Linked DNA regions of Nothobranchius furzeri. The protein of the gene in region 1 interacts with the protein of each later gene in a pairwise test. Links are inferred from orthologs where the notes say so. Each region holds a gene or a part of one and is shown on either strand. Other genes may lie near its edges.

Evidence for each region. The genes of interacting proteins can lie anywhere in the genome.
Region 2: the proteins of trip10a (region 1) and arhgap17b interact in binary tests that used the Homo sapiens proteins (3 or more experiments, as listed by UniProt). The link is inferred for Nothobranchius furzeri from reciprocal best matches to the Homo sapiens genes TRIP10 and ARHGAP17.
Region 3: the proteins of trip10a (region 1) and sh3bp1 interact in binary tests that used the Homo sapiens proteins (3 or more experiments, as listed by UniProt). The two-hybrid records come from large-scale screens. The link is inferred for Nothobranchius furzeri from reciprocal best matches to the Homo sapiens genes TRIP10 and SH3BP1.

The regions. Positions count from the first base shown.
Region 1 is NC_091745.1:3,269,088-3,272,842, forward strand, and holds the start of trip10a (cdc42-interacting protein 4 homolog), read right to left. Parts: upstream 2,461-3,755; 5' UTR 2,270-2,460; coding exon 2,246-2,269; intron 1-2,245. UniProt on the Homo sapiens protein: Required for translocation of GLUT4 to the plasma membrane in response to insulin signaling. Required to coordinate membrane tubulation with reorganization of the actin cytoskeleton during endocytosis.
Region 2 is NC_091752.1:55,847,611-55,851,365, reverse strand, and holds the start of arhgap17b (rho GTPase-activating protein 17b), read left to right. Parts: upstream 1-1,052; 5' UTR 1,053-1,234; coding exon 1,235-1,459; intron 1,460-3,755. UniProt on the Homo sapiens protein: Rho GTPase-activating protein involved in the maintenance of tight junction by regulating the activity of CDC42, thereby playing a central role in apical polarity of epithelial cells.
Region 3 is NC_091756.1:27,546,635-27,550,389, forward strand, and holds the start of sh3bp1 (SH3 domain-binding protein 1), read right to left. Parts: upstream 2,699-3,755; 5' UTR 2,560-2,698; coding exon 2,507-2,559; intron 1-2,506. UniProt on the Homo sapiens protein: GTPase activating protein (GAP) which specifically converts GTP-bound Rho-type GTPases including RAC1 and CDC42 in their inactive GDP-bound form.

The DNA of each region.
Region 1 (3,755 bases):
AGTTAGTGGCGTCTATACTGCTTAGGTACATTTCTGTTAATCACACTGGCCCTGTCACCCAGATTAGATCAGCCCATAGATAAAAGTATTTATGTAGAAGTAATTATGTTGTTAAAATATGAGGAAGTTTTGTGACAGGTGCAATTTTTTTTTTTAAACAGCTTCCTCTCATCTACTGAATACTTCTGATTTCAGGAAAGTGTTCTGAGAACACAAACGGTGAAAGCAGCTTTCTGATGAGATTTGCAGAAAAAGACAGATCTGGAAACGACAAGACAACTAATATATCACAGGGAAGTTTTCAGAGTCTGGGAAAGCCATGTAGCATCTTAAAATAATTATTGAACTTTCTACAATGAACTGTTTATTAAAGAGACAATTTGGCATTATGGTAAAATTTCATAAATAAATAAATTGTACTACTTGAAAGACTTTCGGGAGATGTTTGCTGGATGGAAATGACAATAGAAAAATACGTATTTTTTGTTTGTGACATCAGGATGATTTCGAACTACAAGTGCATTCATACATCTGAAAAATTTGCTTTGTTAGTTTAACTGCATAAAGATGGTTTGCAGTAGTCAGCTGACTTTCACAGAAAACATTTGATTGTTTCAGCCAGCTCTTATGTGACATAAATGTTCTATTTTGCAGGGAAAGCACCACAGAAAATATGATTTCCTTTGCATTTGTAACGCATCATAAAATCGCCTAAAGCTTTTAAAGCTGGTGACACTCATTCAACTCCTTCATTTCACTTCTTATGCAGGGAGGATAACTCCCTGATAATTACAGAATCTACTCTTAAAAAAGCAGCCGCCCTTTATTTTTACTACACATATTATAATGAGGTGGGGGCAACAAAGATATGACTGTGGCAAATCAACTTCCTATCATTTCAATAACTACATCAAGGAAAAGTCATGAAACGTCACACGGCAACTCACCACCTTCAAACGTTTCTGTGAATGATTCAGCTCAGCGTCAAACGTTCTTGTCGATAATGAAAGGCATTAAAGGCATGGCCCTGCCAGACCCGCCACACGGGAGTTGCTGTTCTAGTCACAACTAAAAGCCCAGACACTCATCTTGGACTGAGCAAACCAGTGCCTTAAAATAGCCACCGGATTAAAAACAATCAGGGGAGCAGATGCCAAAGAGCTGACCAGGTCTACGAGTTTGACTCCAGCCAAACATTAACAAAACCAATTAGGCCTGCAGGCTCATCCAGGTGGGGTTAGACTCTAAAACAAACAACTAGAGGTTAATATATTTCTACATGTGCATGAGATTATTAATCGCTAACTAAAAACAGCAGACTTTTGTGTGCATTTGTGCTGCAGAGCCCTGCAGTAGAAATAGTTTCTGATTAACAGGAGCAGCAATGTTTCTGTGAATCAAAGTAGGGCAAAACTAATTAGGCTGTTGCACCACTGCATAGGGAGAAAAAGGGGGACGGGGGAAGGCCCGGGGGGGGGAGGATGGGAGGGGGACAGTAATGAGGTCACAACCTCCCTGTCCTCCTCTTTGCAGTTTGCAATGCTCCATTTTACAAAGCAGGTTCCCTGAGAACGTGTGTGATGGTTGTGTTCAGACTGAAGCTGCTCGCTTCTGCCTTCAGGAAGTAGCTCCATGTTTGCTGCAAAGCCGGACCACTCTTGATTGGGCCGGCCTCCTGAACAGTTAGGGTTAGGGACTTTTACAGCCTCCTGGTTGTTAACTGAAACATGTGCTGCCCAGCATTTACGTCAGAAAGCTGTTTTTGTGTACTTTCACTCAGAGAAACCACCTAATCAAGATGGAGCCTGTTGCCAGGTCACACCAGCAGCTGATTCCATCTCTATGGAAGCCAAGTGTGACAAAATATAAACAAAGAAGCATCCTGCACGTCCTTCACCAGAGTACTTAAACATCCTTAAAAAGTAAAAAAACGGAAATTTAACACGCGTTTCACCTTAAATCAGTTTACTTTATATGCAACGCTTTTGATAGCATGAAAATCACCTGAAATGTCATTTGATTTAAATTACTAGAGTCATATGATTTGAAGAGGCTTTTTAATGCATTTTTCCAGAATAAACCGCTTTTATGTGAAGCGAAGGAAAAAAAGTGTTCGTGAACGCATCGTTCTGCAAACGGAGTTCGGCGCGTCTTCTGCAGACAAACCCAACTTTGTCAGAGCAAACAGCAGCCATCGTTGCGTTTTACAGTGTTTCTACTCAACGGAGTCAGATGATGGACTCACCCAAAGTTCTGTGCCCCAGTCCATGTTCAGCCGGAATACGAAGAACTTCTCCAAAGTTATCCCGACAGCTCGGAGGGCGGCCCTGGCGGATCCAATCCCGACCCGTTAAAGTTCACGGTTAACCACGGAGCTCTCCGGTCACGGCTTCTTCAACAGCTCAAGCGAACCGGCTTCATAATTACCTCGTCTGCTGGAGCTGGCAGCCGCTGGCCGAGTTAACCTAAATAGTTTTCATAGCGAAGGAAACAGGGACGACTAGCTCTTTATCCGCGTCACTCCCAAATCCTAAGTCTTAAAGGGACCGCGCTCACCAAAGAACATTGGGTTCCGTCTGGGTTCTGCTGGTTCTGGTTGTGTCTGGGTTCTGTCTGAATTTGTTTTGGTTCTGTCTGGGTTCTGCTGGTCCTGTCTGGGTTGAGCTGGTTCTGTCTGAGTATTGTCTGGGTTCTGCTGGTCCTGTCTGGGTTCTGAGTTCTGTCTGGGTTCTACCTGAGTTCTGCTGGTTGTGTCTGGGTTCTACCTGAGTTCTGCTGGTTGTGTCTGAGTTCTATCTGGGTTCTACCTGAGTTCTGCTGGTTGTGTCTGAGTTCTATCTGGGTTCTACCTGAGTTCTGCTGGTTGTATCTGAGTTCTGTCTGGGTTCTGCTGGTCCTGTCTGGGTTCTGAGTTCTGTCTGGGTTCTACCTGAGTTCTGCTGGTTGTGTCTGGGTTCTACCTGAGTTCTGCTGGTTGTGTCTGAGTTCTTTCTGGGTTCTGCTGGTTGTGCCTGAGTTCTGTCTGGGTTCTACCTGAGTTCTGCTGGTTGTGTCTGGGTTCTACCTGAGTTCTGCTGGTTGTGTCTGAGTTCTATCTGGGTTCTACCTGAGTTCTGCTGGTTGTGTCTGAGTTCTATCTGAGTTCTACCTGAGTTCTGCTGGTTGTGTCTGAGTTCTATCTGGGTTCTACCTGAGTTCTGCTGGTTGTGTCTGGGTTCTACCTGAGTTCTGCTGGTTGTGTCAGAGTTCTATCTGGGTTCTACCTGAGTTCCGCTGGTTGTGTCTGGGTTCTACCTGAGTTCTGCTGGTTGTGTCTGAGTTCTACCTGAGTTCTGCTGGTTGTATCTGAGTTCTGTCTGGGTTTTGCTGGTCCTGTCTGGGTTCTGAGTTCTGTCTGGGTTCTACCTGAGTTCTTCTGGTTGTGTCTGGGTTCTACCTGAGTTCTGCTGGTTGTGTCTGAGTTCTATCTGGGTTCTACCTGAGTTCTGCTGGTTGTGTCTGAGTTCTTTCTGGGTTCTACCTAAGTTCTGCTGGTTGTGTCTGAGTTCTATCTGAGTTCTACCTGAGTTCTGCTGGTTGTGTCTGAGTTCTATCTGAGTTCTACCTGAGCTCTGCTGGTTGTGTCTGAGTTCTATCTGAGTTCTGCTGGTTGTGTCTGAGTTCTATCTGGGTTCTACCTGAGTTCTGCTGGTTGTGTCTGAGTTCTATCTGGGTTCTACCTGAGTTCTGCTGGTTGTGTCTGAGTTCTGTCTGGG
Region 2 (3,755 bases), on another chromosome or scaffold:
ATCTCTTTAGACACGAGTCAAACCCGAAGAATTAGAATATGATATGATAATATTGTAAACAGTGGTGGAATCTGCCTGTTTTTTCTCTAGCTCGCCCTCTTCTCCGCCTTCACTAACATCTCCGCCAAATACCGAAGACCCAGAACAATGTCCGTCCGCTACTAGATTCCTTTCCTGTTTTGCCCGCCTTCGTCTCCCGGCAACGGACAACAACTTCCGGGGTCAGATGCGCTGCTCCGTCTCTATCGCAGATGTAGAACGTCACCGGGAGTGTTTCTCCCTTCATAAAGGAGATTCTTTCAGACATTAGGAGAGCTGTTTTGGTGGTAGCAGTCTCTCTGTGCTGGTCTGTTTGCTGCTGGGTATTTTGGTTTATTTAAACTCGGTAACTTGAACTTAATGTTGGTAAAGATACTGTTAGCATTTTCGCTAACAGCTTCTTGCTGTTACATTTTGGTTTAGAGTTCATCTTTTTTGTGGCGCAGATCTCCCTTTTATTACATTTAGAGGGTTGTGGGTTTTCGGTTTAGTTTAAAATATCACCTCGAGTTTGGTTTAACCGCCCAGTTTAGAGTTTGGACCTTTGGAGATTCTTCTTTTGGTCCAGAACCCAGTAATCTTTGCCCAGTGGGACATCCCTACTTATTTGTACTTTTGTTTTAATTCCCCACAGGCAGGATTAGTTTTATTATTCCCAACCTGTGGATGGAAAGATTTATGATTTTTGTTGTAGTTGTAAGTAAACCTGATCATCATTTTAACTTTTAAATCCCGTGTTATTGTCCCTTCCTTTTTACACACGAGCCAAACTCCCCAGGAAGGGTTGTAGCACCACTCGCCTCACGCTCATAAGTGACCAAAACAAAGCAGCATGGAGACATTCTGTCTCCAACCACCTCGCAGGCAGCAGCCTGCACTCCCAAGTTCTACATGTCACCAGAACATAACCAACCGCAACACAATAAAAGCAGAGTTGTACAAAATGGAAGGCCTGTAGTGTTTATTCTCTTACAGTAACAATTTATAAATTTTTTGAGAAATTTATTAGAGATTTTTTGGTTTTTATTAACTGTGCAATAGAAAAATAATCATTAGATTAACTGTCTAAATAGTCATTAGAATAGTCGACTATTCGATAAAATAATCGTCAGAATAATCATTTTAAAAATAATCGTTTGCCCCAGCCCTAGTCCTCTCCAATATTGGGCAAACACATATTTGTCCCCCCAATAACATGGAGATGAAAAAAAAAATAGATTTTGAAATATTTGACTCGCAAGCTTTTATTTTGAAAGACACTGCAGATTTCTCACCTAAACAGCCCCTCCCCTCAGGGAGTCAGACAGGCTGGCTGAGTGAAGCAGGAGTCAGAGCCGGGGCACGGACACAGGTGTCAGAGATGAGACGACAGCAGCTCAACGAGTTCTTTCTCATGCGCAAAAAAAGAAAGAAAGGAAATGTGAGTTGGTAATAATTTTGTCCAAGAGGATAATTGTATTTTTGGTCAAACGTTAGACTGGTTGACTACTGTAAACATCTTGCTAGGCAGCATTAAACATTAACCCTCCCACTGTCCTAATGGGTGACCCTGTGAGCAAAGTTGACCATTGAGCAGGATCAATGGTTTATCCCTTGAGGTCCATGTGGCAGGGGTGAGGTGGTACTCACTCCTCACCCCTGCCACATGGACCTCAAGGGATGAACCATCAATTCTGCTCAATGGTCAACTTTCCTCATGGGGTCACCCATTAGCACAGTGGGAGGATTAAACAACACAACTAGTCAATAAAAAATGGCGAATTTTACAGTAACAGACAAAAACCGTTTGACAGGAAATAAGTAGAATCTCCACTTAAAAATGGCGTTTGTAAGTGTGACTGTTGCTTGTTTGTGACATTCTCATCAAATTTTATTTTTAAACCTTATTCTTGTCACTTTGTTCATATAAGAGATCAGATGAAGTTCAGCAGCAAAATGATAAGAAGGTGAGACAGGGAGAACCAGACCTGCTGAGGTGCAGGTAGGTGCTACAGTGAGTGGGATGGTTTTAGGTGGCTGATGAGAGGAAGATTTGAATGTGATAATAAGTGAACACAGTTACATTTATGTAATCCCATAACAAGTAGGGCTGGGCAGTACGGCTTAAGAATAAAATAAATTCTGTACACGCTTCCTTAGAAATATTTGAAAAAACAAGTGTTAAACCCTGCATTCTGGTGCATTTAGTCTGCAATTTTGGCCACTGTTTTTTTCTTTTGGCCATCTGAATAATAATGTAGTTACAGCTGTTGTTGTGAGTGAATTGTTATTTCTTTTTTCATTCTGTCAGAAGCAAACAGATTTTTCAGATTGTTGGTCAGCATTGTTGGCTGATGTTGTTTAAAATATTCTGATGAGAGTCAGATCAATTAAGACTCAATTTTCACAGCTTTAGTCTTGTATTAAATCTGTTTACACATCTCTACCCACATATCCTACATTCATATTATTAAATAAAAATAAAACCATACTGACACAAAAACAGCTTTTTTTAATAAAACATCCACGTTGACAGGTAATCAAACTGGATCTGGCTAATGGGGAGCCAGTCTCCTCCCCTTCTGGTTGGCTCATGGGTCCCCGATCAAAAGAAGAAAAAAAATGTTAGTGAACTGGGCTATAAAAGTTATTTTCTTGTCTTTCTGGGCTTTGCCTTACGCCCTGAGTCACATCTGTCAGGCTTTTCATATCTTAGAGTTTCACCGTCTATTTTCTATCAGAAGCTAATGCAGGAGATGGCTGTAGGAGACTATTTTCATGTTCAGCCTGCATGAAACACTCGGAGTGACCCATTAGAATCAGAAATAATCATTAAATAAATTTTTTTTCAGTGAGGCTGTTCTACACTCACCTAAAGGATTATTAGGAACACCTGTTCAACTTCTCCTTAATGCAATTATCTAATCAACCAATCACATGACAGTTTCTTCAGTGCATTAAGGGGTGTTGTCCTGGTCAAGACAACCTCCTGAACTCCAAACTGAATGTCATAATGGGAAAGAAAGCTGCTTTAAGCAATTTTGAGCGTGGCATGGTTGTTGGTGCCAGATGGGCTGGTCTGAGTATTTCATAATCTGCTCAGTTACTGGGATTTTCCCCCACAACCATTTCTAGGGTTGATAAAGAAAGGTGTGAAAAGGGAAAAACACCCAGTATGCAGGAGTCCTGTGGGCGAAAATGCCTTGTTGATGCTAGAGGTCAGAGGCGAATGTGCCGACTGATTCAAGCTGATAGAAGAGCAACTTTACTGAAATAACCACTCGTTACCACAAAGGAATGCAGCAAAGCTTTTGTGAAGCCACAACACGCACACGCTTGAGGTGAATGGGGTACAACAGCAGAAGACCCCACGGGGTACCACTCACCTCCACTACAAATAGGAAAAAGAGGCTACAATTACCACCAGTTCACCAAAATGGGACAGTTGAAGAATGGAGAAATGTTGCCTGGTCTGATGAGTCTTGATTTCTGTTGAGACATTCAAATGTTGGAGTCAGAATTTGGCGTAAACAGAATGGGAACATGGATCCATCATGCCTTGTTACCACTGTGCAGGCTGGTGGTGGTGGTGTAATGGTGTGGGGGAAGTTTTCTTGGTACATTTTAGGTCCCTTACCCCCAAATTCCACTACCTCCGCTCCGCTCCGACACGAACGCCGGAGCAAAATCGGTCCCGTTGTAGTCAATCAGAGCAATTCCACTACTGCGGCCGTGCT
Region 3 (3,755 bases), on another chromosome or scaffold:
CAATTTGATCTTTTTGTTGGGGCAAATCGTCATAAGGCTTTTGTATGCAGAGAAAAAAGATCTGTGTGTATCTAGATTTGTGTGTGTGTGTGTATCTTTTGTTCTCCCCATACTTTTGCCAGTGGGCTGCTCATCCATCTCTTGTATTGTGCCATTGTCTTTTCTTTTTAGTCAGTATGCACACAATTCAGAGATGTTAATGTAGGGTTCCAAGTGAAAATCACACAACTTTGCTGATAGTTTAGAGTCAGTTTCTTTATTTTTGTTTGTTGATTCGCTGAGTCTGTTGGTGAGTTGTCTAGAAAAGCCTCCGTAAATTGTATTCTCCATCTACTGAGCAAATGACACGATGGACAAGGCATATGGGTTTCCCTCAGCTTTTTGGACTTAACAGTCCAGATGTCACTTAATTTTTTTATTTTCACTGTCAACCATATGTCTCCTCTCTTTTGTGACTTGTTTTCCCAAGAAACTGCTGTTGTAAACTTTCCACTAGCAGCATAAATGGCAAATAAATACTTGCCTTAAAATATTGCAAAACGTTAACGATCACACTTACAATTAAGTTGCAGCAATTAAATAAAAAAATTACGAAGAGGTATCTGGGCAATGGGCCAGTGGGCCGCCTATTGAATGGAGCTAGTCCCTATATGTGCTCTTGTAGCAGCATCTTCAGCACAACTTCCTTAAATCCTTCACAATAAGAGTCTCAAACACAATATAAACTAGTGGAGTTTTATTATAAAACAATACTAATAAGCTTTTTGGAGGGTTCAGGAACACAATAAACATTGCTTCCTTCACAAATCTTCAAACAGCTTACTTTAGACATTTTTCTGGAAATAGGATTTCAGCTGTTGTAGTGACATTCTGACTAGTGGCCCTAATAGGCTTCTGTACATAATGAGAACTGGCTGTTTATGTAGACATGAGCTCATTTGTAAAACAAAATGCAATTCCATTTTTGGAAATTTTCAAAATAAAATTTGGTGATTTCGATCGAAAATGTTTTGTAAATGAACTAGATGTGTGTGTGCACGTGTGTGTGTGTGTGTACCTTTTTGTTCTTTGTATTTAATAGCCTTTTTTTTATGTAGACGTAAATTCTGAGAACTTTTTACCACAAACTTTCCTTATCTCTGTCTCTGTCAACAAACTGAAAGACAAACAGATCAAAGGGCATCTGTCCACCTCTGAATCTTCCTGTTTGTTCTCATAAAATATTAAAATCTAACTAACATGTGGTGTTTTTGCACTGATGCAACCCTTAGAGTGACAGGGTTGCACTAATCTACTGATCTCACAGCTGTTTCTGACATTGAAAACATCAGTCTCCCACTTTGCACCTCCTCTGCTCTGAAACTTCATCTGTCTGCTTTCAGAGGTGAGAAACAAAAGACATGTGAAGCATGGAGGGAGTGGGCTGATGAAGTTTTGAGAGTTTGGTATCAAGAGCAAAGGACACTAATAGGAAACCTATCTTAGTTATGGTCAGAAGAACATGATCTCATTTAGCACATCAGCTTGTTTAGGCTCTGCCTCTCTAAATAACTCTTCTCTGGTGAACATCGTCATGCTTGCTGTTCCACCTAAAGGAAGCCCAGTCCCATTCATGGAGGGACCACATGAGCGTCAGCACACATGAGGTGCAAACGATTTCCTCCTGAAAAGACATCTGAAGGTTTAAAGGATATATTCTGAGCTGGTCTGAAGCATAAACAACTTCCTCCTTCTTATTTTCACATGGGAAGAGGAAATGTAGTTTTTTTTTAAAATAAAAACAAGAAAAGGTGATGTTCTTGGTGTGTGTGTGTGCACGGCTGAAGCTCAGGGCATCATTGCAAATTGGCATGTGTGATATGTGGAGCCCACATGTCTCTGCTGCAGATGCACGTAGTTCAGTATTAAAGAAAAGTGCGTCACAGAGGAAGGCTGCACTGCCTGCAACCAAACCACTAAAGTCCTGCTGCACACACTCAACAGAGGAAGGTGTGAAGTTGGTGGCTCCCACATGTTTTCTAACCGGGGTAATTTAAGGAGTTCTTTTATGTTCAGGTTTCATCATCACAGAACAAAAAAAAGTACAAGCCGACCCAAACCATGACTTGAACCCCCTCCCCCCAATACTTAACCCAAACGTATCACTTTCAAGAGGAACAAGCAGCAGTGACTAACAGCAGCTTCACTCGCACTAAAAATGAAATCATGGACAGAGCGAGAATTTCCTCAAAGCAATAAATGAAACCTTCTTCTGCAGAGTCCATGATGGCTGCTGGATTATGATATCTGGACCAAGTCCAGTTCAAATGGAGTCATGCAGCTTAAACCTGATGTGACCTGCTGTTGCTTGAGTTGTTTGACTTATCAAACAGACAACAAGTCACATTCACTTCTACTACTCTTCCAGTGACACGCTGGGGTTCAAACAACTTAAAAATATACACAAACGTGGCACACAACAGCGTACATGATTCCATTTCTACTGTTATAGCTAGTACAGGCTTACTTTGTCACTGATCCGAGCTGCTTGAAGATGCTCAGAGACTGCCGGAGCATCATGCTTTTCTATTCTTCAGCCCCACTAGGAATCCTGCTCCAGCCCTGTCCACACAGCCTCATCAGGGTTTAGAAGGTCCAGGTAGGTGAGGTGCCTACAGCTCTCCTGGTGGAGGATTTTATGCGTGTGTGTGTGTGTGTGTGTGTGTGTGTGTGTGTGTGTGTGTGTGTGTGTGTGTGTGTGTGTGTGTGTGTGTTTTGCCTGTCAGGTTTTTGTTCTTGTTTCAGGAGTGTGCTTCTAGGTCACATGCAACAAAAATTTGCAAATGAGGAAGTTGCACCGATGAAACGTCAGCCCCTGAAGTTCTGTGGCACCATGATTTTGCGTTTAGAAAAGCCCTCCACTAATGCATGTCTGACTGTGAAGGATGAGTAAAGTCATATGTAGAACGTGTGGTTCTCTTCTCTCTGACTGTGCAGGCAAGGAGAACAGCCTTAAGGCTTGTAATCCCTTTCTCTGTTAGCACTTCTGTAAATACTGTCAGCATGCTAAAGAGTTAAACGGATGTGAAATGTCTAAAGCGGAAACTCCACACTTCTTGTAACATGATTCTTGCCTAACAATAAAAAAACGTAAGATTTTTAATCTTAAATTATCTAATTCTGATTCAGACTCAAGAGTAAGATTCAAACAAAAACAGTATCTATTACATTTTTTTAACCCAATTGAACACCAGTAGTGGAAAAGGCGCACTAGACCCCCGCGACCCTGCAAGAACAAGCGGGTAAAGAAAATGGATGGATAGTGGAAAAGACCAAATCACAGTTTTATGTTTTGTCATCTTTGCATGTTGGTTTCTGTGGAAGCCTAATCCCGCCACTCAGATAATAAAAAATATCTCACTAGCCCATGACTATGACTTAGTATCTAATTATTATTTGATAGTATCTCATAATTATGACTTAATATCTAATTGTTATGAGATAGTATATGTTAATCATGACATAGTATCTCATCCTTATGACTTAGAATCTTACCTTTATGAGATATCTCATAATCATGACTTAATATCTCATTATTATGAGATAGTATCTTGTTATTACGAGATAGTATCTCATAAATATGACTGAGTATCTCTTAATAATTACTTATCATCTCATTATTATGATATAGTATCTTATTATATAAAATACTATCTCATAATTATGACTTAGTATCTCATGATTATGGCTTAGTATCTCATTGTTATGAGATAGTA